Styela clava: one gene and its partners. The protein of the gene in region 3 purifies or fractionates together with the protein of the main gene of each other region. This does not show direct contact. Links are inferred from orthologs where the notes say so. Each region holds a gene or a part of one and is shown on either strand. Other genes may lie near its edges. The genes, in order: cleavage and polyadenylation specificity factor subunit 3-like, cleavage and polyadenylation specificity factor subunit 2-like and symplekin-like.

The links.
Region 1: the proteins of symplekin-like (region 3) and cleavage and polyadenylation specificity factor subunit 3-like purify together in Drosophila melanogaster (affinity purification with western blotting; 3 studies listed by BioGRID). This does not show direct contact. The link is inferred for Styela clava from reciprocal best matches to the Drosophila melanogaster genes Sym and Cpsf73.
Region 2: the proteins of symplekin-like (region 3) and cleavage and polyadenylation specificity factor subunit 2-like purify together in Drosophila melanogaster (affinity purification with western blotting; 3 studies listed by BioGRID). This does not show direct contact. The link is inferred for Styela clava from reciprocal best matches to the Drosophila melanogaster genes Sym and Cpsf100.

What each region holds. Positions count from the first base shown.
Region 1 is NC_135251.1:10,436,404-10,444,869, forward strand, and holds the start of cleavage and polyadenylation specificity factor subunit 3-like, read left to right. Parts: upstream 1-5,015; 5' UTR 5,016-5,101; coding exon 5,102-5,157; intron 5,158-5,343; coding exon 5,344-5,407; intron 5,408-6,920; coding exon 6,921-7,018; intron 7,019-7,610; coding exon 7,611-7,739; intron 7,740-8,252; coding exon 8,253-8,380; intron 8,381-8,466. Other genes in the region: octanoyl-[acyl-carrier-protein]:protein N-octanoyltransferase LIPT2, mitochondrial-like, read right to left, coding at 1,582-1,898, 2,336-2,406, 2,992-3,118, 3,865-3,948, 4,069-4,171, 4,568-4,627. UniProt on the Drosophila melanogaster protein: Component of the cleavage and polyadenylation specificity factor (CPSF) complex that plays a key role in pre-mRNA 3'-end formation, recognizing the AAUAAA signal sequence and interacting with poly(A) polymerase and other factors to bring about cleavage and poly(A) addition.
Region 2 is NC_135251.1:30,702,118-30,710,274, forward strand, and holds the start of cleavage and polyadenylation specificity factor subunit 2-like, read left to right. Parts: upstream 1-5,099; 5' UTR 5,100-5,151; coding exon 5,152-5,223; intron 5,224-5,677; coding exon 5,678-5,754; intron 5,755-6,794; coding exon 6,795-6,954; intron 6,955-7,437; coding exon 7,438-7,543; intron 7,544-8,157. Other genes in the region: cytochrome b-c1 complex subunit Rieske, mitochondrial-like, read left to right, coding at 3,787-4,590. UniProt on the Drosophila melanogaster protein: Component of the cleavage and polyadenylation specificity factor (CPSF) complex that plays a key role in pre-mRNA 3'-end formation, recognizing the AAUAAA signal sequence and interacting with poly(A) polymerase and other factors to bring about cleavage and poly(A) addition.
Region 3 is NC_135263.1:4,744,987-4,752,373, forward strand, and holds the start of symplekin-like, read left to right. Parts: upstream 1-3,982; 5' UTR 3,983-4,038; coding exon 4,039-7,387. Other genes in the region: spartin-like, read right to left, coding at 299-1,903. UniProt on the Drosophila melanogaster protein: Component of a protein complex required for cotranscriptional processing of 3'-ends of polyadenylated and histone pre-mRNA. Involved in germline stem cell transit amplification, differentiation and mitosis-to-meiosis transition.

The DNA of each region.
Region 1 (8,466 bases), on a different chromosome or scaffold from region 3:
TGTCTCTGAGCAGCGGAGTCTGTAGTGAAAATTGGCGGACAAGCTTGACGGAATAAAGTGTTCCATATTCCATAACAGTATTCTCATGTAATAAAATGAAACAGCAAAATTTAGTTGAAATATCAGGTCCCATGGGAAACAATAGAAGTAATAGCCTTCTGATGATTACGTTACAGTTCTATTTAAGCACTGACAATTGTAATCGATTGGTGGTCCATTAGTTGTAACCGACCAACGTATACGTGAGCCACACTACGACGGCGAGTAGTCCAGCAATCCTCTCTCACATAATTATCCGCCACGGCTACGGGATTCCAATCTGCGAGCCAACACAGGGTAATCAGAGGTGCAGACGCTTGCCACGATGAGCCTAAGATCTGTGCCCGGTTCGTGCCACCTGCAATGCTATCGATACTTATCCATCCACTTGAACTACGTAAAAGTAAGATTTTGTATTGCGTAAGTTCTCGTTCGATACAAATTAGTTTAAAGCCAACAATTCTGCCAGGAACATGAATTGTGCGGCTTTGCTTACATTGAATCCAGCAATGACTGCAACTTACATTGCCGATCCACAAGTGCAAAGAGGGAGTGCGTGCATTTATCATACGCGGCTCGGTGGTTTGCTCACCATGCGTTGGATCATGCTTGACATCGCCCCACCGATTACCCTGCGCGAGTCCGCGACATCGGGAAATCACTCTATGAAGAAAGCCGGACGGTAGTCGATGTTCAGTTTAGATTCCTCCACCAACAGGGCTTATTATTAGGCTTTTCTCGGTACGAATACAAAAAGGCCCTACCTGGACGTCATCCAGCGATCTCCCACTTTTCTCAACCTTATATTGGACGTACATATCGTTGCTCGTTTTTTAATACAACTGTCGTGAAATTTATTGTACTTTCTCAATTTTTTTACAAAGCTATTTGTAATATCACAAATCAGGTTACAAATCTACACTGTAGCCTAGGATCATATAATTGACCTAATTATGATGTCATAAAATGCAATAATGTTACATTGCAGATTTAAACTTCATTACATCGGTTGTGATATCAAATTATGAATTTCTTCGAATTTATTTTGACAGTGAGTGTAGTCACAGAATACCCCATCTCTAGATATCGGCCAATATTTTCTAAGCTCTTGTGTCGCTACAGAGGACACAGCCAAGCCTTAATTATATGATAATTTGTGGTGCTCCAGAAGTATGCGTACCAAGATGTCGCACAACCTGAATTCTAACCGGTACACAACACTATGTTCAGGTTGTGCGCCATCTTCTTCCTAATTTGTTTTATTTGGCTCAGTATATTCTATATATTTAAATAAAACTATACTTAAATTAGTAATTATAGTGTGGTATCACACCTCAAAATTAAGAGGGGTGTCCACCCCCAATAGCGGGTGTAGGGAAATCACCCATTTGGCTTATTTTTTATAATAGTATGCGACTTGAACAAAAGAAGGTATGCGATTTGATGTTTGAAATTTTTTATTCAAAATGCATAATATTAACAAAGTAATAATAATATAGGAACCAAAAAAAACAAAGAGTAATTTCAATATCAGAGCTTGTATCACGATTTCACACCCATATATGTTTCATTCTTTTTCTTATTCGTTACTAGTTGAAATAAAGTCTCGTCATCAATATTATTATTGTCCAATTCACAGTGTTGTAGAGGTAGAATGTCCCATTCGAATACTGATGACATTTCTTTAAGAAATAGTGGCATGACTTCTTCAACTGTGACGTCTCTACCGGTTTGCAAGCTTAGAGATGTCACGCCTTTGTCTAAGATGCCACAAGGAACTATCCGTGAAAACCATAACATATCTGTGTTGCAATTTAATGCCAGTCCATGTGAATATGTTTTTTTCTGAGCATTAATACCTGATGAAAATAAAGTAATTTAATAAGTATAACTTATCTCAAGCAAGCTCACAGTGAAATAAATAAAACACATCTGCGAGCAAAGTGAGTGAACACATACAACTTCTTTTTGGCAATACCTTCCATCTTATATTCTGTACGCATTAAACCTTATCTAAGATGAGTCGACGGAGTCGAAAAAAACTTATCTAAGTTACCTTATCCTACCTACCCCCTTGGATAATTTAACAATAATGCTTGATATTTGAATATCGCAATTCATTTTATTAATATGGATACCAAGATATTTATACGATTCCACATTTCTAAGAATAGCCCCCCCCCCCCCTCCCCCAATTTAGATTTTTTTCGACAACAAAAATAAAATAAACTTTGATAAATAAAAGTCTTAAAATTAAACTGCCCATCAACTTATCAAATCTCACCCTTGAACTCACCCATTGCACATATTTTATCGTTCCCAACCCAAACTCCTGTGTGAGGAGATCGAATTCCTTCTATATTGTACCTGGAAATACATTTCAGATTTGCTATTGAAAGAGGAAAATTCAATTCAAATAGAGAACTTGCGCACCCACTTTATGCTTTATAAAGCATTGGGCGCTCCAAAAGCATGTGTACGGTTATGGATAATTTTGTTCACCTACTTTACTTCAAGTTCAATAAAATTATGGCCTAACCATAACCTGGTACACATACTCCGGGAGTACCAAACAGTGACATATAAACCATAATACTTATTATAAACATGAACAAGTTTGCATTGATAATTTTCTGCAAAATGCCCCATGAACTTAACAAATAATGACTATCAATTCATAATATACCACAATATTGCATCTTCTTGCACAATCATCCAAAAAATAGTTACTCAATATTTATGGTAGATGTTTTGGTAAAAGTTGGATTAAATGGTTTTTTGGAAACTTTCTAGTCAATATGTGTATGAAATGACAAGCTATGATTAGCCGACCTCAGTTCCAAAAATAATAATTTCAATGTGTGGTGGCTAATATGCAATTATACACAAATTACCACTTGGAAACTCAAAACCAGATAACAAAACATATTGAAATATAATGAATGACCTTACTTTTTACAAAGGTTAATGATAACTTCTTCCAGCAACCAAACATACTTTCTTACACCGATTTCTATCTGAAGTTGACTGAACACAGGATAAACAACTAACTGACCTGGCCCATGAAATGTTATCAGACCTAGGAATGAAAGTAAATCACAATTTATGTACGAAGGGCTTGGATAAACATTTGCAACTCTTTGATATTGTAAAGCATAATCTTTTGATACCCTTGGATATCGGAATCTTCCAATGATTATTGAATTCACTTTACTATGAAAAAGTGATGACGTGATGCATTGAAATTGATAAATTTTTACAGACATATACTACCGTATATCAAATATAAAGTAATGATAGAACCTGTGTGAGATATTACTCTGCCATAAATTTGGAGCCTGGTAATGTTCCGTTGTAATTTCTGGATAGTTAATCAAAAATAGTTAACAGAGGGCATCATTAGAAATGAGTTAAAATCATCTTGCCATTTTAAATATATTATATTCGTGGGTGGCAGACATTGGAACGTAGTATGTGTACCAGACTACCAGGTTAGGGTTAGGCCATAATTTTATTCCAATTTTCCTTATTTTAGTTCTATTACGAGTTCAGGGACTAGCCAAGTGACTCCCGTAGTATTTGCACCTGAAATCATAGCCAAATCGGGTACACATACTACATTCCGGTGTCCGCCATCTTGATTCACATACTTCGGAAGTACCTATTCGAATATGCATAATATAGCATAATTTAGTGTATTCAGTAACAAAATATTTAATCTTTGAAAACTTTGATAGTATTGTAGTTGGTGAAGTGACCACTGGTACTCCTTCCCTACTTAATGTCTTTTTTAACTGAAGCAATTAATTTTTATCTGAAATTTACCTCCTCTGTCAGTTTTCACAAAATCTGCTCCAAGACTTTCCAGTAATTTTTGCTCTTCATCTGTGTATTGCTTGTCTCTGTAACCTGTGTAATATTGTTAGCATTGAACAGTTGAATAATCCATGTGCATTTCCACATTAGGTGTAATTATTCTTTTTCAAGTTGAACTCAGACATAAGTATTTCTGAAGTTAACAAAACCTACCTATCGTATACACAGGGTTGTGTTGTAATAATAGTAAAGTAGGACTTGCAACTTCTGGTTGAACTTTGTTCCAATTGACAAGATTGTGTTGAAGTTTTAAAGCCTGCAATAAATGAGACATTACATCAGTACATTGATTTCAATTGCATAATACCAAAATATCACACTTCCTCAAAAATTGAGGGTAAAATCTCCATGAATCGATGAAAAGGGGTTGATCAAAATATTATAAATGGAGAAATGCATGATCTCATTTTGCAGCTTTGCCACCAGATACATTTAACATCTGAGGGCTGGGTGGTGTCTATGACTGCGTTAGGGCAAATTATCCGTGTCTCATATAACTATGAAACTGCTAGAATGTATAATATTTAATTTTTTTTATTTGTGTTTGAATATTTTCGTTGGAGATACCTACAAAATTAAAATGTCTATAGAATGTTTGAATGTCAAAGATACCGTACTGCCGTAAGTAAGATTATAATAAAGGCATGCTAACCTTTTTATATCTCACAGTTCCAAGATAAAAAGCACGCGCGAGTGGTCGAATCTTTTCCATTTTCTATAATTTACGTTTTTCGAGCTCGCCGGTTTGTTTCAAAAGATTGAATTAACGAATACATGAAACTGTGTGCGACAAATGCAGCTCAGTTACCTCCAAAAGTCACGTGATTTTGTTGGTGTATGAATGCATTGATGCGTATATTTATGTGGAAGTTGGAGTTGAAAGAAAGAAGTTTCATTTTTTCGCAAAGGCAATCATGAATATCGTACGTAAGCATGAATTTGATTTGAATCGATATTGCATAAAACTGATTTGTATTTGCAATTGAACAAATTAATTATATATCTCGCGTTTTTCCCGTCAAAATAAATTCTCAATTCTGTGAAAAACTTTCATTCAATTGAAATCTCCGGTCACTACTCAGTTCATGCTCCACATTTCCCAAAGAACCGGTACTGGTACGGTAACTGATTCTCTCGGAACCGTGTCTTATTCGTCTCCTCGTTCGAAGGGAAATAAACGGATAAAATGGCGAATAGTGGACAGAAGACCGAAGAAACTGATTTATTAAAAATCACTCCGCTGTGAGTAATATACGACTCCATTTCTTCTATGTCTGACAATGCATCTATGGAACCAATTTGAGATTTTTGTACTGGTTTTGCAATCTTCAGATGTTACACTTCAGCAATATGCTGTATTGTAAATGATAATTTTTTGTTCAACATGATTCAATTTACAGATTTAGCGTTTTTTTTTTATAATTTCAGTGGGTCTGGTCAAGAAGTTGGGAGATCATGTCATTTGATGGAATATAAAGGAAAAAAGATTATGGTAGACTTTTATTAAGGATTTTATTTTTTGGTTGTTGAGCACTATTTAAAGTTTTCGTTCCATTTTTTTTTTTCAGCCAACAATTTATAATACGATGGACATGATAGTAGGGCCTAGTTCCCAAATTCCAAGAATGTTTCGTCATTTGGTTCAATAAAACGAACACTCCATATGTCTCACAAATGAGGGTTGTCTGGCACGACGGCAGATGCGTCATATCGCGCCATGCTTGTCTCGATAATAATCTAAATTAATCGAGGGCCATCAAGTTACCAAAGTTGCCGTTTTTTGCTAAAAACTCTCGAATGCCATGGTAAAAATCGGATTATTTTTTCCCGATGAATTCAATGATTACGTTTATTAGATTGCGCTTCTCTTTAGTTTATCACGCAACTTCTTTTTACTGCATTTTTACCGACATTGAGGGACAACAATGTCCAAACGTCCCCAAAGGGAGGGGTGTCTGTTCGTCGCAAAATGGGATTCTCTGAAACGAGACAATGTCGCTCCATCTTCAAAGTGTGCTGTATTGCATGATGGTTTAGTGAGCAGAACTTTAGATCAACAATGTTGTTTGGTTTCCATACCCATTCTCCTCCACCTTTTCTAAGGTATAGAATCCCATAATGGAGGATGATTGGGAGGGACTCCTGGGATTCCAAGAATAGTGACATCTTTGTGTATCAATGTCTGCATGCTTGGAGCCTTAGCTGTTTTGGTAGAAACTTGTGGAAACATCAGAAAATAGAATTCAATCTAGTTCAATTCTTTAGTAGAATCTAGTTCGAGTGGGAGTGGTGACTCCTCTACGGCCCATGGGTCGGGGCCGAGGCCCAATTCAATGCTATTCCCAATTCATCAGGCTATGGGCCGCGACCCATCGAGTTATGTAAAGGGACTATTCACTTGGCTAACACAGACAGTCTCCGAACTCATAATAGAACTATAATGTGAAAAATCTGAACAAAATTTTGTCCTAACCCTAGCCTGGTACACATACTACAGGAGTATCCTTTTCTGTAGTTTGGTATTATGCTTTATTTTTATATAAAGGCTTATCGTAAGAAAAAAATTTGGTGGCATCCCACGATTTTTTTTTGTTTTGAATATTTACAATTTTGTAAAAAATTGAAAATTTTGGTAAGATAATTGAATTTTTCCTGATGGGGCCACGGCCCATAGCTTGATGGGCCACAGCTCATGTGGCCCAATTAGATGGGCCGTGGCTCCGGCCCATGGATCATAGAGGAGTCACCACCCCTGTAGTCTAGTTCAATCTGGTTCAATCTAGTTCAATTTTTTGGTAGAAACGTGTGGAAACATCAGAAAATATAATTCAATCTAGTTCCATTTTCATGCTCACCGCCTATTATTCATGAGTGTAATAAATTGAGTATGCAATGGAACTGGGCCGAAAAGATTTTGGCCCATTCCAATAATAGTAGCCCATTCCGTAACAGCTTGTCTAGTGTCTGTTCTAATCTTCATTACTAATACTTTTCATTTTATGCAGCTGGACTGTGGAATTCATCCAGGGATTAGTGGATTAGCAGGCCTTCCGTATCTTGATTTCTCTGATCCTGATAAAGTTGATTTATTGCTTGTTACACAGTAAGTAATTTTATTCTGAGTTGAATTTAAACCTAAGTCCTAAGAGAGAATTTAATGTCTTACCTTAGTATGTGGTTTATTAAATCGGCAATAATTTCAAGTATATAAAGTCAAGTGGTTTCATCTTTCATTTAATTTGAAAAAGAGATAAGGCGTTTCAATATGGGATATACCAAGAATTAAATTCAATATTTTTATTGTTTTAATTTGTCTCTTTTTTTTTGTGTGTCCTGGGGTAATATTACCTAGGTCATGGCCCCGTATGGGAGGCTTTAGCACTCATGGCCCCCCTTGTTCACCATATCAAAAAACTATTATGTTTCATTATGTAGATCTATCAAACAAAGGGTAAAAAGACAAATGTGTTTAATAATAATGTACAACCTATTACAAAAGTATTCAGGTAATGAAACTATGAAGAGCAAGGTATTTTCTTTTGAAGTGAAAAGTATGCAAACGAAATGTGATTGAAATCAATTTGTCATAATAGTATTGTGGCCTCCTATGACTACTCTGGGGCCCTCAGTTAGAAACCACTATTCTAGTCTAATATTATTGACAGAATCTTAACCTTTTTTTCCGTTTTATCCAGTTTTCATCTTGACCATTGTGGAGGTCTACCATGGTTTCTACAGAAAACTCCTTTCAAAGGACGAGTGTTCATGACTCATGCTACAAAAGCTATCTATAGATGGTTGCTTTCTGATTATATCAAAGTCAGGTAGGTTTGATCTTTTTATATTTATACTTCAAGGCAATAATATTTTGGATAACTTAATTCTATTTTTCTGGTAAAACTATATCGGAAGAATGTGAGAATACTACATTTGCCAATTCTTGTTGTTTCTTTCGGTTTTGGTAATTACTGGAAATTTAAAAAAATTGAGAGAAAGCTGGATCATTTCTATCTCTGTGGCATGGAGGCAACCGTCATTCAACTCACTTTCAACTTTGTTGAAAGTTGTCCAAAAGTTTTGAAATGTTTTAAAATTGCAAGCGGAATTTATCGATACCATATATTGTTTCGGCCCTCACAGATGTATTCAATGAAGTAAAAATAACTAAACAATTTCTGATTAAAAACAAACATACCTGGTTAAGATATATTGGGAACTGACTTCGTAACAAAATGGATATTGTAAAGAGATCTTATGGACACCCTGTTCTTTTTTGGACAACTCATATTTAAAAACTAACTCATTATAAGATTAATGTGATCATGTATTTCCTTCAGTAACATATCGACAGAGAATCAACTCTACACAGAAAGTGATTTGGAAGAATCAATGTCAAGAATTGAAACCATTAATTTTCATGAAGAGAAAGTTGTTGAAGGAATTAAATTCTGGTGTTATCATGCAGGTAGAATTGGATGTGAACTTGGAATGGTAGATGGAAGCCAAGTTTTTTTTACGCCCAATACTTTTTCTAGTATATTATGTTACTGA
Region 2 (8,157 bases), on a different chromosome or scaffold from region 3:
TCATATTTTCTTCTCCTCAGGCACTCAGGTCTTTCAACCAGCATTTTAATGATATATAACTACCGTGTTTCCCCGAAAAAAAAACCTAGCTTGAATTTCAAAATAATATAAGCCAGTCCTTAAAATAATACCTTGTCCTAGTCGATAGAGCGAATTTACTTTTTTGACCTAGTCGATAGCAAGGAATCTCTACTACACGTTTTAAATCAAGGTGGTCCAAACCAGACACATTCCTTGCAGCCCACAGAACAGTGTCAGCGTGCAATAAACCATTGGTAGATATTTGCATTTATTGGCAGAACATTTTCTAATAATTTTTAATTTCGGAATTTCAAAGTTGTATCTATAGACGTCAAGACGGTGCCAATATGAGAATGACGTCCTGTGATAGGTAGAAGGAAAATGAATTGTGTTGTGCAGACAGAACCAAGCCGATGAGATGAGTCGCGCTTTTTATCGAAACTTCGTGCCTTACGCTCGCGTCAAGTAACTCCTCATTCGGAGACCCGTTTTGTTTCTTTTTTTAGTTTAAAACACTCCATTATTTTCAAGCGTTGGCCATGTGGCAGCAATGTATTTACTTACTCACAACAACATTAAACCACAGTGTCTGGTGTGTTTTCAAATAATATCTGTCACGAAAGACTGTTATTTTAAGCAACATTACAAAACCAAACACGGGAAAAGCAATTTTAAAATACCTAAAGGCTTTATACAGTAGATATCATAGCAAGAAATTTTACCTACTCGTTTTAAAGGATTGAAAATCTATGTTTTAGTGGGTATTTTAATTAAATAAAAACGTGTTATTTATAAGTAAATGAATATCGGTTTTCATATTTTGTATATTTGGAAATCTAAAAATTCTCTAATTGAAAATAAAAGACATCCCCCCAAAATAAGCCCTAGAGTTATTTTTTGAGAGAAAATTGAAATAAGACATTGTATTATTTTCAGGGAAACACGGTATGTTTAGTAGTTCTTTCAAATAAAAACGGGTTACAGTATTTATAGGTAAATGGATACCGGTTTTCATATTTTGTATATTGTCCATATATGTAAATCTCGTAATTCTCTACTTTGTAATTTTGTTTTTGATAAATGAAAATAAAAGATATCCCCCAAAAATAGGCCCTAGTGCTATTAAAGACACTGCCTATTTTAATTATCTATTGAAACTTGGGGGGAGCCGGATTTCATGCCAGGACAGCAGGGTGCTTGTCCCATTGTTTGTATAATAGTAAACATTAGTCCAGGCCTATTTTACGTTGCCCAAAAAACAACTACCACAGTAGTTCGAGACAGGACGACTTCCAACAACTGGCTTTTAGCGGCCATGGCGAGTTACTCATCACGTTACCTGAAAGAAACTGAAGCCGTCTTTCGAAACAGTCAACGAAATACAATCTATCTGTATCTCATCAGTGCAGTGGTTCCCAGCCTTTTTTCGTATCGCGGCACACTATTGAGCTCTTTAAATATTCGCGGCACACCTATCACAAAACATGAACATTTTCTACTCATAAAGCCTTTCTGCTATAAACTAATTTAAAGAAAAGAAGATCAGATAAGGGGAATTTTATTCATATGAAGACAACATACCCCGCATTTAGTAACAGGTATATAATATTAATAGTGAATTTCAGCCATACTGAGCTTGATTCTACAAATCACCTGAAAAGGCAGGGTTCAGACGGATGGCGGATACCTGGTTAGGCGATAATTTCATCTGTATTTAAACACATGTCGTTTCCGTCCTAAAAAAATATCATCATCAGGTATTCACACTTTTGCACAACCTAATTTTTTTCAAATTTAATATCTTCCTCCCGTTGCCAAAATTTGTCGGATAGAATATTTTTATCGAATCAAATAATTTTAACGAATCGTCAAATATCGGGAATTATTAATTTGTATACCACAGGCATCCAGAACGCTAGACATTCTATTGTTGGTGAATTCGGGATTTTATTCCGATTTTCATATTTTGCGCCGGCTTTGATCTTTCTCGCCACCGTTTGTAAATTAAGTGTCCAAATTTTAGGGTGAAATTATAATATTTCTGACACCGGAATCAGGATATTCATGGATACGATAGTTGACCTCCTTATGATTTTCTTTCTCCATTGTGCCTGTTTTATTTTCGTATTAAATAGCCAATGAAGAGTGCGTCTGTAAGTTAATGTGCCAATTTTCAACAGTATACAGTATTATATGGATGTTTCCCCAAGCATCGACTTCCTTGTTTACTTCGTGACATCGGCCAATCAACGAGATGCAAAAAGTGACGTAACAATGCATCCGCTGGGTCATTTTTCTCACTCATGGATTTTTTTTTTCAGTGCATAAAACTCGTGAGAACGGACGTGAGTTTGCTTTTGTCCGGAACGTTCGTGAAAGTGGTACCGGGATAGGCAAGTTCACGAAATATGATATAGGGCATATGCCCAGTTATACCAGCAGTTTTCTTTCGTTGTCGTGTATTAATTGAGTAATAATGAATTGATTACTCTGGTGATACAGGTTTCATTGTTCCATGAGCAATAATAATTTTGTTCGGTTTTATATCATATTATTACGACAATTGTATAATATGACTATATATATATCGATATCATTAGATCCCCCCCCCCCTGATTATGTTTTACCAACTTTCATGACCTTTACCTTCATGACCTTTCATGAACCGATACAACTGCACAGGGGTACCGAGTCCAGGGCTGCCACTCTAGATGTTTTATATCTAGATCAACGGCTAACATGATCTAGATCTAGATGTTTTTTTCAAGATCTAGATGTAAAATTTGGAGCCTAGATGTTAGCTATAAAATCTAGATTTTTTTTCGAAGTTTTGAATATTATTCAATGAGAAATAAATAAAGAGATGTGTATAATACTGTAGCCCAAGCCTCATTTAATTGGGCTTGTGTTTTTGTGTGCGTGCTGGTGGGCAGGCACATGAGATACTTCATGTTTTAAACGTTTTTGTAGGTTTTGCTTGCCCTCCAGAATTCTCCATTTTAAATTTAGGTTTGTTATGGAGTTTTCGAAATAAACTATCTATCTATCTAATAGGTGAATGAATATTACCGTATTTCATTATTTAGAGGTACCGGTATTGATGTAAGATTGATAAAAGTCATTCATATTGTATTCGTCCCCCGGTATGGTACCATACAGCCATATGTACTTAAAATATTTGAATAACGAATTAAACATGATTAAAACATGTGACGTTTTAATTAACGTTAAATAGAAAAGAGACGTTTTCCGGATGATATTGTTGCCAAGGGGTTTTAAAATTATTAAGTTTATAAGTGCTATTGAATGTGTCTCTCTTTAAACATCAATCTTTCAAAATGCCAAAGTTTATACACTACCAGCAAAAATTTAGAAAATTTTGACTTAAGGCTGTACAGCTGTACGGTAAGGGATGGTTTGCCCCAGATGATAAGAACAAGGTCTTTTGTAAGTTCTGCAGATGGGAATTGAATTCTAGATTATGATGTTAGCTTCTTCGACATCTAATATTACTGTTTTATGGTTACTTTTCATTAAATTAAATGACTTCATAAATAGATGTTTTATTTTTTAATCTGGATGTTTCTAGATCAATCTACAGATCTAGGTGTTTTTAGTCAGGCAAAAGTGGCTGATCCTGAATACTAGAATACCGTTACTTATAGAATAAAACAATGTTAGAATGTGAATTTCCCCAATTCAATATTACATATTTCTTTGAAAATTTAGTTTTGTGTATATATTTATTTATTCTAAGATATAAAAATGCTTCCCCTGTTGATAAAAGGCAACTTTATGCCTGGAATATCTCACACAATTCAAATTATTACCAAGCAAATGCGACCTTTACCAGCTGCAGTAGCATTGAAAGCTCAACTACCTGATGTTGCCCAGAAAGCAGTTACTAAACTACCTTCTGCTGTACCAATGGCAACTGTTTCTATTTTCGGGGCTCCTTCAGTAAGATATGCGCACACTGATGCTGCAGTTCCTGATTTCAGTGCCTATCGACAGAAACTTAAAGATGATGTAAGCGATTTTAGAAAGACAGAAGATGAACGGAAGCTCAGAACCAAGACATATCATTATGCCATTTCAGCTGGAGTGTGCATGGGAGGAGTTTATTTGGCCAAATCTGCGGTAACTATGTTCCTTAAAACAATGAGTGCTTCAGCAGATGTTCTTGCTCTTGCATCAATAGAAATCCCATTGTCCGAAGTTCCTGAAGGAAAAAGCATTACTTTCAAGTGGCGAGGAAAACCTCTTTTTGTTCGCCATCGGTCTCCTGATGAAATTGAGAGAGAAAAAGGAGTTAATGTTGCAGAGTTGAGAGATCCACAGCACGATGCTGAGCGTACTCAGAAGGAAAACTTTTTAGTTGTTATAGGAGTTTGTACCCATTTAGGATGTGTCCCAATTGCCAATGCTGGTGACTTTGGTGGTTACTATTGTCCATGCCATGGTTCTCATTATGATGCGTCTGGTAGAATTCGAAAAGGGCCAGCACCATTGAATCTTGAAGTTCCAGAATATTCCTTCATTTCCGATGATATTATAAAAGTTGGTTAATGACTTATGCCTGACCATTTTTATACATCACATGTTATTGCGAAGTCATTTAGTATAAAAATATAGGGAAATATTGTCAAAATAAACCAGGATTTTGAATTTTGTTATATTTTTGGACTGTTGTAAGTTGTAACTTTATGTTTCCAAGTATTAGAAACACCTCTAATTTAAATAAAGCTGTTTCATGGAATATTGGTTGTTGATTCTTTTCATATTTCAAATTAGTTTCAATTTTGAATATTTATAATTTCTATATTCACTCCTGAATAATATTGTTTTAAAACAACATTTAATCGGAAATTACTGTCTGGAATAATGAGATTAATATTGGAGCAATCTGTTGACTAAATATGAGGTTAAATTATTTTGCATATGATGTATGTATGGATTATATATGTTCCACTCAATGATGTTATTAACAAATGTCTTGTTTAAAATTGGACTTGAATATTAGAAACTCTTGACTTTTCATTAGTGCTTAATTAATATATTGTTTGTTTTTTGAACGTAGATGAATTAAACTTTTTCAACCGGCATGGTATTTATGAAATCTGTTAAAATATGACATCTATAATCAAGTTCACAGCACTTTCTGGTGCTCAAAATGAAGAACCAAACTGCTATCTTCTGCAGGTGATTTGTTGTTATTGTCTTTTCATTTGTTCTCTGTGTCTTTTAGGAGCAGTTTTTTTATAATTAGATTGAAAGTTCATGTTCAACGATGTGACCACTGAAACGTAATTAGATTATTTTGCCTTCACAGAGAATGCGTCTAGAACGGGCTTCTCAAACGGTGGGATAATTTTTTGGGGCTTGAAGCTAGGTGAAGGATATTTACATTCTATCCACATAATTTCAACGTGTTTTTTGAATAAAACATACTTTTGCCTACGATCTGTTATTTGTAGCCTATTATTATTAGCTAGTTATTTTTGAGATGGGACATGAGACTCCACACATTTAACTTAAAAAGTTTAGGAACCACTGGATTCTAGAAGAAGCAATGACTTTTTCTCTCGAAAGCAGTCTTGTAAAAATACAAATCTGTAATAAATGTTTCTGAAGCATGTTATCTCCATATCAACAGGTTGATGAATTTACGTTTTTGCTGGACTGTGGTTGGGACGAGTGGTTTTCTGATGGCATTATAAAAAAGATAAAAAGGTAGCTTTGCATTTTTCCTCCAAATTGTATGGAAGTTTTACAGCACTGTGCGCTATCATGGGAAATAGTTATTCAAATGAATCTACTCTATTCGCTTAATGCATTGCATTAGCATTTTTGTTGACCCTTTGAGGAGGTTTGTCATGCTGACTACTTTTACCCTGCGAATATACCATTTGTCTTATTCGAACAGCTATTAAAAAGTACCCTTCAATAAAAGCAATGTTTCCCAATACTAGGAAGCCTGTAGTTCTCAAACTTCATGACCCTTCAGGCCTTCACCAATAACTCTCACTCTCAGCACTTTATAAGAATACATAGGTTTGCTTTTACTGTGTTTTTTCATCACAAATATTTTTCACTATGTTCAATGATGAAAACAACAACCAGGATAATAAGTGCATTGTAGTCAAAGAATTAACAAAATCACAGTCATTTACTTCAAATTAATGTAGTCATGACAAATGATACTTAGTAAAGGCCTTTGCTCATTGCCCCCACATGACCTCTCTGTGGCCCTCTTGGGTGACCGAGGGCCCAATTTAAGAATCTGGGCCAAGCACAAGATGAGATTTCAATGATTGAAGCACAGAAAGCTTGTTGATTTTTCATTGTTTTGAAAATAGCAAGGATGAGAAACATTCATTTTAGTGGAAGAAAACGAGTGTTGTCTTTTGTGGAATAGCCACATATACGACTATTGTGCGACTGTTTTGGGAGCTAGCAGGGCTAGCAACTGATAACAAGTACATCCATATCTAGGGTTCAGCTAGATCCAATGCTAACTTTATTACCATGATCATCTCTTCTCCAGACAGAATTTATTAGAAAGGTTTCGATTTGAATCTCATATTAGCCCTTTTTCTATTGGCACCACTGCTGTGTGAATCGATTTATGAAAGTTTGGGGCATATGGTGGTAATGGGATTAACACAATATCTTTAACCGCTGATGGCACAATAATTCATTGGCAACACATTGTCACCCTTTTTTTGGGATGCTGAGGTATTCAATATTAATAATCATTTCATTATTTGTAGGTATTTGAGCCAAATTGATGCTATCTTACTTTCATTTCCTGATCCTCAACATCTCGGCTGTTTGCCTTATCTTGTTGGAAAAGTTGGATTGACTTGTCCGATATATGCAACTGTTCCCATCTATAAAATGGGGCAAATGTTCATGTATGACTTATATCAGGTATTCTGCAACAGAGGATTTGCATTTTTCTGCCTCATTCCTTCATCATTGCTTTGTAAGAGTTGTAAATTTAATTTAATGGCTGAAGTCAGTCGGGGAACAAATATAGCTAAAGTTATATTTATCCTGTTCAGGTAATCGGTGCACAACTGCACATCGTTTAAGAATTCATAGATTATCCCACAAAAATGCCATTTTCATGGGAGTCAACAATGCCATTGTTAGCATTATTCCTGATGCTCTGCATCACTATACTAGGTACAACATTATTGAGTTTTCTTCAGAACCAAATGGAGAGAAATAAGGCCATTGTTTGGTATATATTTCACTTATGTTATTTGTGATAGCCTCATTGATAGGGTGAAATAATTTATCACTCCTCAATTTTATCATGCAAGTTTGCAACTGGAGAATCAGATTTGATAATGATTGGGATTTGCTGGATATTTGTTATTATTGTAAATTTAACAATGGTTTTTCCAGTCTCATCACAACACCGAAGAATTTGATAAATTTACACTGGATGATGTTGATATGGCATTTGATAGAATCACTCAACTCAAACATAACCAAACTTTAACTTTGAAAGGTGAGGTGTAAATAAATTTTGCAGTAAAAAGGCCTTGATATTCTTTTCATACCACAACATTCCCAGATATATTTGTCTTTATCGGTGATAAACAATGGTTCATGACCCCACAATGTACATGTACCGTATATCGAATTGCCTGAGTAAATGAGAATGTTCTTTTTTTCCTCCACACAATGATTTGGTCTCTGTCTGAATGGTTGTTAGTCCATAGATGTAAAACAGTAGAAACTTTTTGAAACTAAAAACGTGACCGACTACTACTGGTAATTGTTTTTGTTTACTTGGTTGCTTGTTGTATGTAGGACTTTCTGTCACTGTCATTTGAATAAATGATGTAATCACATTAGGTAATTTTGAAATGATACATTTTTTGATTATTTTCTTAAAATACATAGACTACAGTCTACAATACAAAAAGTATGCTTCCATAAACAAGTGGCAAAACTAGAATTGAGACGTGAACACCAAATTCGTAAATCAGTGCAATTACGTAACATATGTGTTTATTAATCACCGTTTTAAAATTGATTATTGATATAGTGTCCACATAATGGTAGAATTTTCAAATGAACAAAATTTCGAGTAGTGAGGGCCTTCAGTGACAGTTGGAG
Region 3 (7,387 bases):
CGGAGCGTAGTTTATAAATTGGCTTAGTAGCAATAACTTCTTGAGCAAGGCCGTAAATACATTCCAAACCCTAGAATACACAATTCTCTGTTTGGGTTTGCTCTTTGATTCAGAATAATTGTAGAGTAAGCTTCTACATTTTGAAGATTTCATTGCGGCTTATCAATTTATCGAATGTTTTGGGTAAACTTGAAATATAGATAAAATATTGAGAATTGAGGACATTATTGTGATGTGCTAGGCCGACATCAATTTACCCTGATAAATGTGATTGAACAGAAACAAACACTTGAGCATATCAGATATTTCTGAAACTGTCTGGTTGCTGATCATCTTTAAAACTGTTATGAAAAGAAACCGTTTCATTTGCAGATTTATATTCAACTCTTTGTTCATCGCAACTCGCTGCTATATCAGCTATAACCTTAGTGCCCAAGTTATCAAGTGCAAATGCCGTAGCTCCAAGATTCACTGCGGCCCCCATGGCTAGATTTGTGGCTTCCGCTGCATCTGGTCCATATTTATATTCCATATTCTTAACTGTTGCTGTGGTAACGGCTTGGGCAATAGTTGAGCCGGCTTTTTCCAGTTCTGTCCAGATTTTACCGAATCCTGCAAGCCCCGATTTCACCACTTTTATCGCACCGTACACATTAGTGCTCGTATTTTCTGGGCTATCTTCTATTGCCTTCGTGAAATATGGGGCAACTTGTTGACCAACTGAAGTTGTGACCGAACATAACCACTGAATCAACCAATTTTTTACCCGGACTGTGGTATCAGCTGCATTGTATGTATATTCAAGGCCTCTTTTGATATATGGATTGACCGTTACTTTCCCTTCTGCTGGGGTCAACTTTGCTTTAATATTGTTTGCACTGCTTTCAACTAAATTGGTAGCATAGTCTGTCCCATTTCGGACATGTTGGGACAAAGCGGTCGCTCCATTTGTTACCGATGCTGCCATGCGGTCACTCATGCTTGGCGGAATGTAATCATCCGCTTCTGAAAATGCTCCTATAAATTCTGATAAATCAACAAATCCTTCGTCTGGATTTTCAATTTGAAAAGCAGCATAAGTTTGAAGAATATTCTCGAACATTTCCACATACTCTCTCGACACATTGCTCGAAATTACGACCCCTATTGCGTACCCTTCTTGAATTCCATCTTCTGTGCACTTGGGGAACATATAGGCACCGTTCGCAGATTTCAAAACCGGCATCTGGTTATTTGCGAGTGGATACACCCAGTCTCCGACTTGAAGTATAGCTTGAGGTCCTCCTGGTGTTACAGAATCTTCCTTCAATAATACAATTTGTAAGGATGCTGGGTAAGACGGAGGCATTGATTCTACTTGGCTCTCTGCTGAGACAAAATATATTTGTGCGCCACTCTCTATAGATAAAAGTGGATCGGCCATAATGTCACTATCGTGGAATTGGGGACCAGACTGAGATGAAAGTGGGTCGTGTAGAGAATATGAAGGCGGGCTTTCGGGCTGTGGAACATCGTGATTAACTGGTTCATCAAAAGATTGTAAATGATAAATTCTCTGTCTTATATTAGCTATGGTTGATATGATCTGTTCTTGCATCTGCCTGGCTTGTTCCCATCCTGCACTGGATTGTTCAAAATCGTGGATATTGTGTCTCAAACCATTCTCACTATGTCTCAAAGCCTGAAGATAGAGTGCCATAGCGTCTGCGTTGTTGTTTGCATCATCTTGTGCCAAAGCCTGCGAAGCTAGAGACACTGATTTAGCATGGCATGATCTGATTTCGTTGAGTATTTCGTCAAAGGCTGGAGGTGCTGACGGTCGAATTACTTGCTGTGCCATGGCTTTATAGTTTGAAAAATATACTGTCACCCCGATATACCAAGTTACTGCCAAATTACCCATTCATCGGGTTTTATTGCGCCTACTTCTGCCCGATATACGTGGCCTAAAGCCCGCTATATCATTTCCCGGTAATTCACCTGCATGTAAAATGAGTCTTAAAAAGGGGATTTCCCTTTGAATCTTGTGATCTCTGAAAATGACATCACCATTCGTCAAGCGTCACAGCTATGAGCCTATGATTCAGCTTTCAAAGCTTTGTTTAGGCTGCAAACACCATCGAGATGTCATCCACAAAAAATCTGCATATCGATAAATAAATTAATGGACATAAACGAGGAAAAGTCAAGAATGAAAAGAGCAGACCAAACCAATCAAGAACTTGAAATGAAAAATTGAAAATTTTTATCTGAATCATTTAAATTTTTAGACCAATATATCACATTTTTTTTTTATATCAAACTCATATGAATCTAACACAATTAGAAAACTTTAGTTGCTTGTTTTGATCATAAATCATGTACGGAGACCAGTTGACCTAGTTACAACCGCGAGATGTCAGACGTCAGCAATTTATTTTCTTCGTTCGAGTGTTGCCAGATTTTATGATCATTAATACATCAATATATATTTTTAAAACACATCTTGTACGAATAAAACAAAAAATGTTATTTCCAAGTGTGAAATTATTGTTAATAAAGGAATTTTGATTTAAAAAAAGTAATGCATGCGCTCTATTATCCACCGTATCTGCATTGATTTCAAATATTTGAGTGATTGTGGCAAAGGTTTATGTAGGTCGTAGAATGCAGTCGGTTTCAGTTCGGTCGGCGCCATTTTTTTTTCATAATTGAGGCGTTTATAAAAATATCTGAATTTCAATTGCCTATTATTTATTTATCGTTATTTAAAGGTATTTATTATTTTATTTATTCTTCAAAAATTGATCAATCCACACCAAGGAACTATAAAAAAAAATTTTTACGGAAATTATGAATTAATGTGGAATATTTTTCCCTCAAAAGTCAGATAGTGTATCTAGAATTAGATTTATTGCTGGAAATGACTTGTGTGTTATAGAAACAGAATTAGTATCACATTTGTTCATGAATTGTCCATTTGTAAAACAATACCGTAGGCCTAGGTATATGATTACCGTATGCAGGTAGGCTATGTTTCCTGATTATCGTGAAAATAACTGGCAGAAACAATTTAATTGATTATGAAACTTGTGTATTATTACATTTGAGTCCCCCTTATCATGCACATTTATTGAATGTAAAAAAAATGATATTATTTTGTTTAACGATAACGAACTCACTAACGCTAGCGATCTCTCACATATCGGGATCGTTACGCCGAGTAAAACAGCTTGCTCGATTTCGATTGATTGTCTGTGCGTCTTGGATGACAGTTAGTACTGTAGTATACCTCGGATGGCCTTATTACATTACTGTGGCATCGTAGTGCAGTAGTGAGTGATATTTTTTTGGCGGATTTTGCGGAATAAACACTGTAACTGCTTAAATAACGCCAAACAGTAGTACCATGCTCAATTATTATTTTTAAGATTAGTTATGCGAATAGTCAGCTGATAGTTTACATAGACTTCGGAAGTGAAATATATAACATATATTTTTGACATATTGTTTTGTTGAAATTTGTAGTTATGTATGTATGGTTATTACAGTAGGGCACACTTTCCAAATTCCAAGAATGTCCCGTTGGTTCAATAAAATAAACACTTCTATGTGTCTCAGAAACGAGGGGCATCGTGCTCAACGGCAGATGCATCTTATTGGGCCATGCTTGTCTCGATAATAATCTACATTATTCCTGGCCGTCACATGATCTAAATTCCCATTATTTGCTAAAAACTCTAAAATGTCATGGTGAAAAAAAAATTTTCTTTTAGTAAATCGGATTATATTTTCCTGAGGAACTCAATGATGACGTTTTCTAGCTACTTCGTAGTTTTTTGTGCAGCTTCATTTTACTATATTTTCACCTATTATTAGAGGTGACAATGTCCAGACGTCCTTTCCCTTGTTTATGGGATTCTTTGGGACGAGACAATGTCTCTCAATCTGTAAGGTGTGCTGTACTGTATAATGATACTAATCAAACCATTCACATTTCAGATCCGTTACCTAACATCCATATATTTGACCTAATATTAATTTATTCCCATCACCAATATGGGGAAACCCAAAAAAACTGGTACAAAATCGCAAAGGTCATCAAATTCCAAAGACCAAGATGATGAGTCAGCATCTTCTCATCAGTCAACATCAGAAAGAGTAATTGATCTGTTAAATCAGGCTTCTATGGCCTCAACGGACCCTGACAAAGTTAACAAACTCAAACAAGTTCAGGAATTAATTGTGAATAAAGAACCAGCATTACTGGATAGTTTTACTGATGAAGTTCTAGCATTCCAAGCTGATAGGTCGCATGACGTTAGAAAATTTGTTGTCGGATTCATGGAAGAGGCGTGCAAAAAAGATAATGAACTTCTCATGAAAGTAATGGCGAATTTAAATTTATTACTCGCTGATACCAATGCGAATGTCACTAAAAAACTCATTCAGTCTATGACACAGTTATTTAGAATTGTGATCTATTGGTTAACAAAGGGTAGTTTCATCTCTGACAGTCATAAAGCTTGTTGGAAAGTGACATGCAATATTCGAGATCATATTTACGAATTACTGGATTCTGTCAATGACGGAGTCCGAACCCAAACTGTCAAATTCGTTGAAAAAGTGATCTTGATTTTGTCAGAGATACAGCGAGGATCAGAGGTACCTAAGAAAACAGAACCTGCGTCTTCTATTGATGAGATTCCATTAAACCACGCATTACTAAAACGGGATGAACTAAAAGCAGACGGAGAAAAAGCTCTTCAGAAATTGTTGGGTTTTATTGCTAATCCTGCTATATCGAGCGTTAATCTTATGGCAGCCATGGGAACCTTATCAGCCATCGCAAAGCAAAGACCACAATTTATGGGAACGGTAGTACAAGCATTTGAAGCATTACATGCAAATTTACCACCAACACTGGCAAAAACTCAAGTCGCGAGCGTGAGAAAACATTTGAAAATGCAACTAATGAACATGTTACGGCTTTTTTCATCAACACAATATCATCCACAAATTACCAATCTACTTTATGACTTGGGTACGACATCATCTGAGATAGCAAAAAATATGCCGAAATTGTCACAACGCCAAAGTGCCGGTAGCTCGCGAAAACGTAGCCCGGATGAAGATAAAGGAGAGGGGAGTGGAAATAAAAAAATGAAAAAAGAGGTGAACGAATATGATGATGATGTTGAAATAGGACCTTCTACGAGCTCAGCACCTGCCCCTGTCCCATCAGAACCTGTGGTCAATCAACACAGTGTTGCTATTGATATCACAGCTAAACAGTTAGTCCCTTTATTATCACCAGAAAATGTCGCTAATTTAGTATTATTGAGCATGGTTATGTTGCCCGATAAAATGCCAGACGCGTTTCAAGCTTCATACACCCCTATTGAATCCGCGGGCACAGAGGATCAGATCAGTCATTTAGCGAGATTACTTTCTATACAAATGACAGCCATGGGTGTCGGATCTGGAGTGCAAAAAGCTGCTGAAATGGCGGCGGAAGAAGACGCAAAAAAGAGAGAAAAGAAGTTAGAAGAAGAAGGAAAACAGAAATTACAAATTCAAACTGTTATAGGAGGAACAACAAAACCAACACCAGTTCAAGAAGACACTGCTCAAGATAAATCGAAGAAAAATATCGAAGCAATGATATCATCTCAGACAGTCGTACCGAACCGTGGTTTGCCTCGCAGAATCCAGGGTTTTCGATTAGAAAGTATCACTACCCCTCTCGATTTAGACACAAAAGATAAAATCATCAAAAATGCAGTTTTGAGAGTCTTGAGATCAGAACAAGCTGCTAACGCTGCTGGAGTTCATGCCCAATGGTCAAAAATTTTAACCAGTCTTGTGGCACAGTTTGGTGGAGATCTTCATAGAGCTTTAGCAATGTTTATTTTAGAAGATATTAGGAATCGTTCTTCCCTTGCATTTGCATGGTTGTATGAAGAATTCAATATATATTTAGAAAACAGTCGTGGCTCGAATGACAAATCTGCACAAGAAAATTACGATGCCTGTCTGACAGGACTTTTACAAGGATTCAGAGAAAAACCAGAAACACGAGACAGTCTTTTCAATAAATTGGTAATGCAGGCACCTTTGTTAACTGATGGGGCGATAAAACAAGTCCGTTTGTATTGCGAAGATGAAAAAAGATCACAATCGGGAATTAAACTTGTTAAGGACTTATTGCATTACAGAATAACGAGAAAAATGCAGTTTCTTCGTTTATTACTTGATCTTTGCGTCAGTAAAAATGAAAGTACCCAAACCGAAGCTGTTGAATGTATAAAATCAATTTTCCTACAAATTGAATTACAGGATTTCATCCGAACATATGCTGTCACTCATCTTGAATATTTATCAAACTCCGCACCACCTTTGACCCTAGTCCCAGAGGGAACACCGGTAGATGCTAAATCAACATGGACGGAAACCCAAATGAAACAATGCATGACGTTATTTCTCGCTTTGCTACCGTTGGATCATAATTTAATCGAAACACTTGCCGAAGTTTATGTAAAAACAAGCGCAGATGTGAAACGAGTTGTCTTACGAATCCTTGATAAACCTGTGAGCCAAATGGGAATGGAATCGCCACAATTATTGCGCCTCGTTGAAGGATGTCCAAAAGGTGCGGAGACTCTTGTTACTAGAATGTTGCATATACTTACAGACAAGACCCACCCAACTGTAGAACTGGTGCAGCGTGTCACAGACTTGTATGCAAAACGCGTCCCTGATGTACGTTTCCTTATACCAGTCTTGAACGGTCTCGAAAAGAATGAAGTTTTAAAAGCTCTTCCGAAGCTTGTTCGATTGAATCCTCCGGTGGTGAAAGGAGTATTTAATCGATTGCTTGGAGTCAATAGAGGACAACAATCCGAACCATCTGTGAGTTCTCTGTCACCTGTGGAGTTACTGATCGCACTTCATAATATGGATTCAAATACTGCTGATGTGAAAAGTGTAATAAAAGCTACAAGTTTATGTTTTGCTGAAAAAGCAGTTTACACATCGGAAGTTTTGGTTACTGTTATCAACCACTTGGTGGAGCAAGCAGAAATTCCGACTCTGTTAATGAGAACGGTAATTCAGTCCTTGATCACTTATCCACGTTTATCAGGTTTTGTTATGAATGTTCTTCAAAGATTAATTTTAAAAAAGGTTTGGGAACAAGAAAAAGTATGGGATGGATTCATAAGATGTTGTCAGCGTATGAAACCCCAGTCGTTTCAAGTGTTACTACAGCTTCCTTCCGTGCAATTATCTTCTGTTTTCGATTCCGCGCCGGAATTACGGGAACCTATGTTGCAATACGTAGAACGCTTTACTCCGCAACAAAAACTTCACGTCAATAAAGACGTGCTGGCGTTGTTAGAACGGAAAC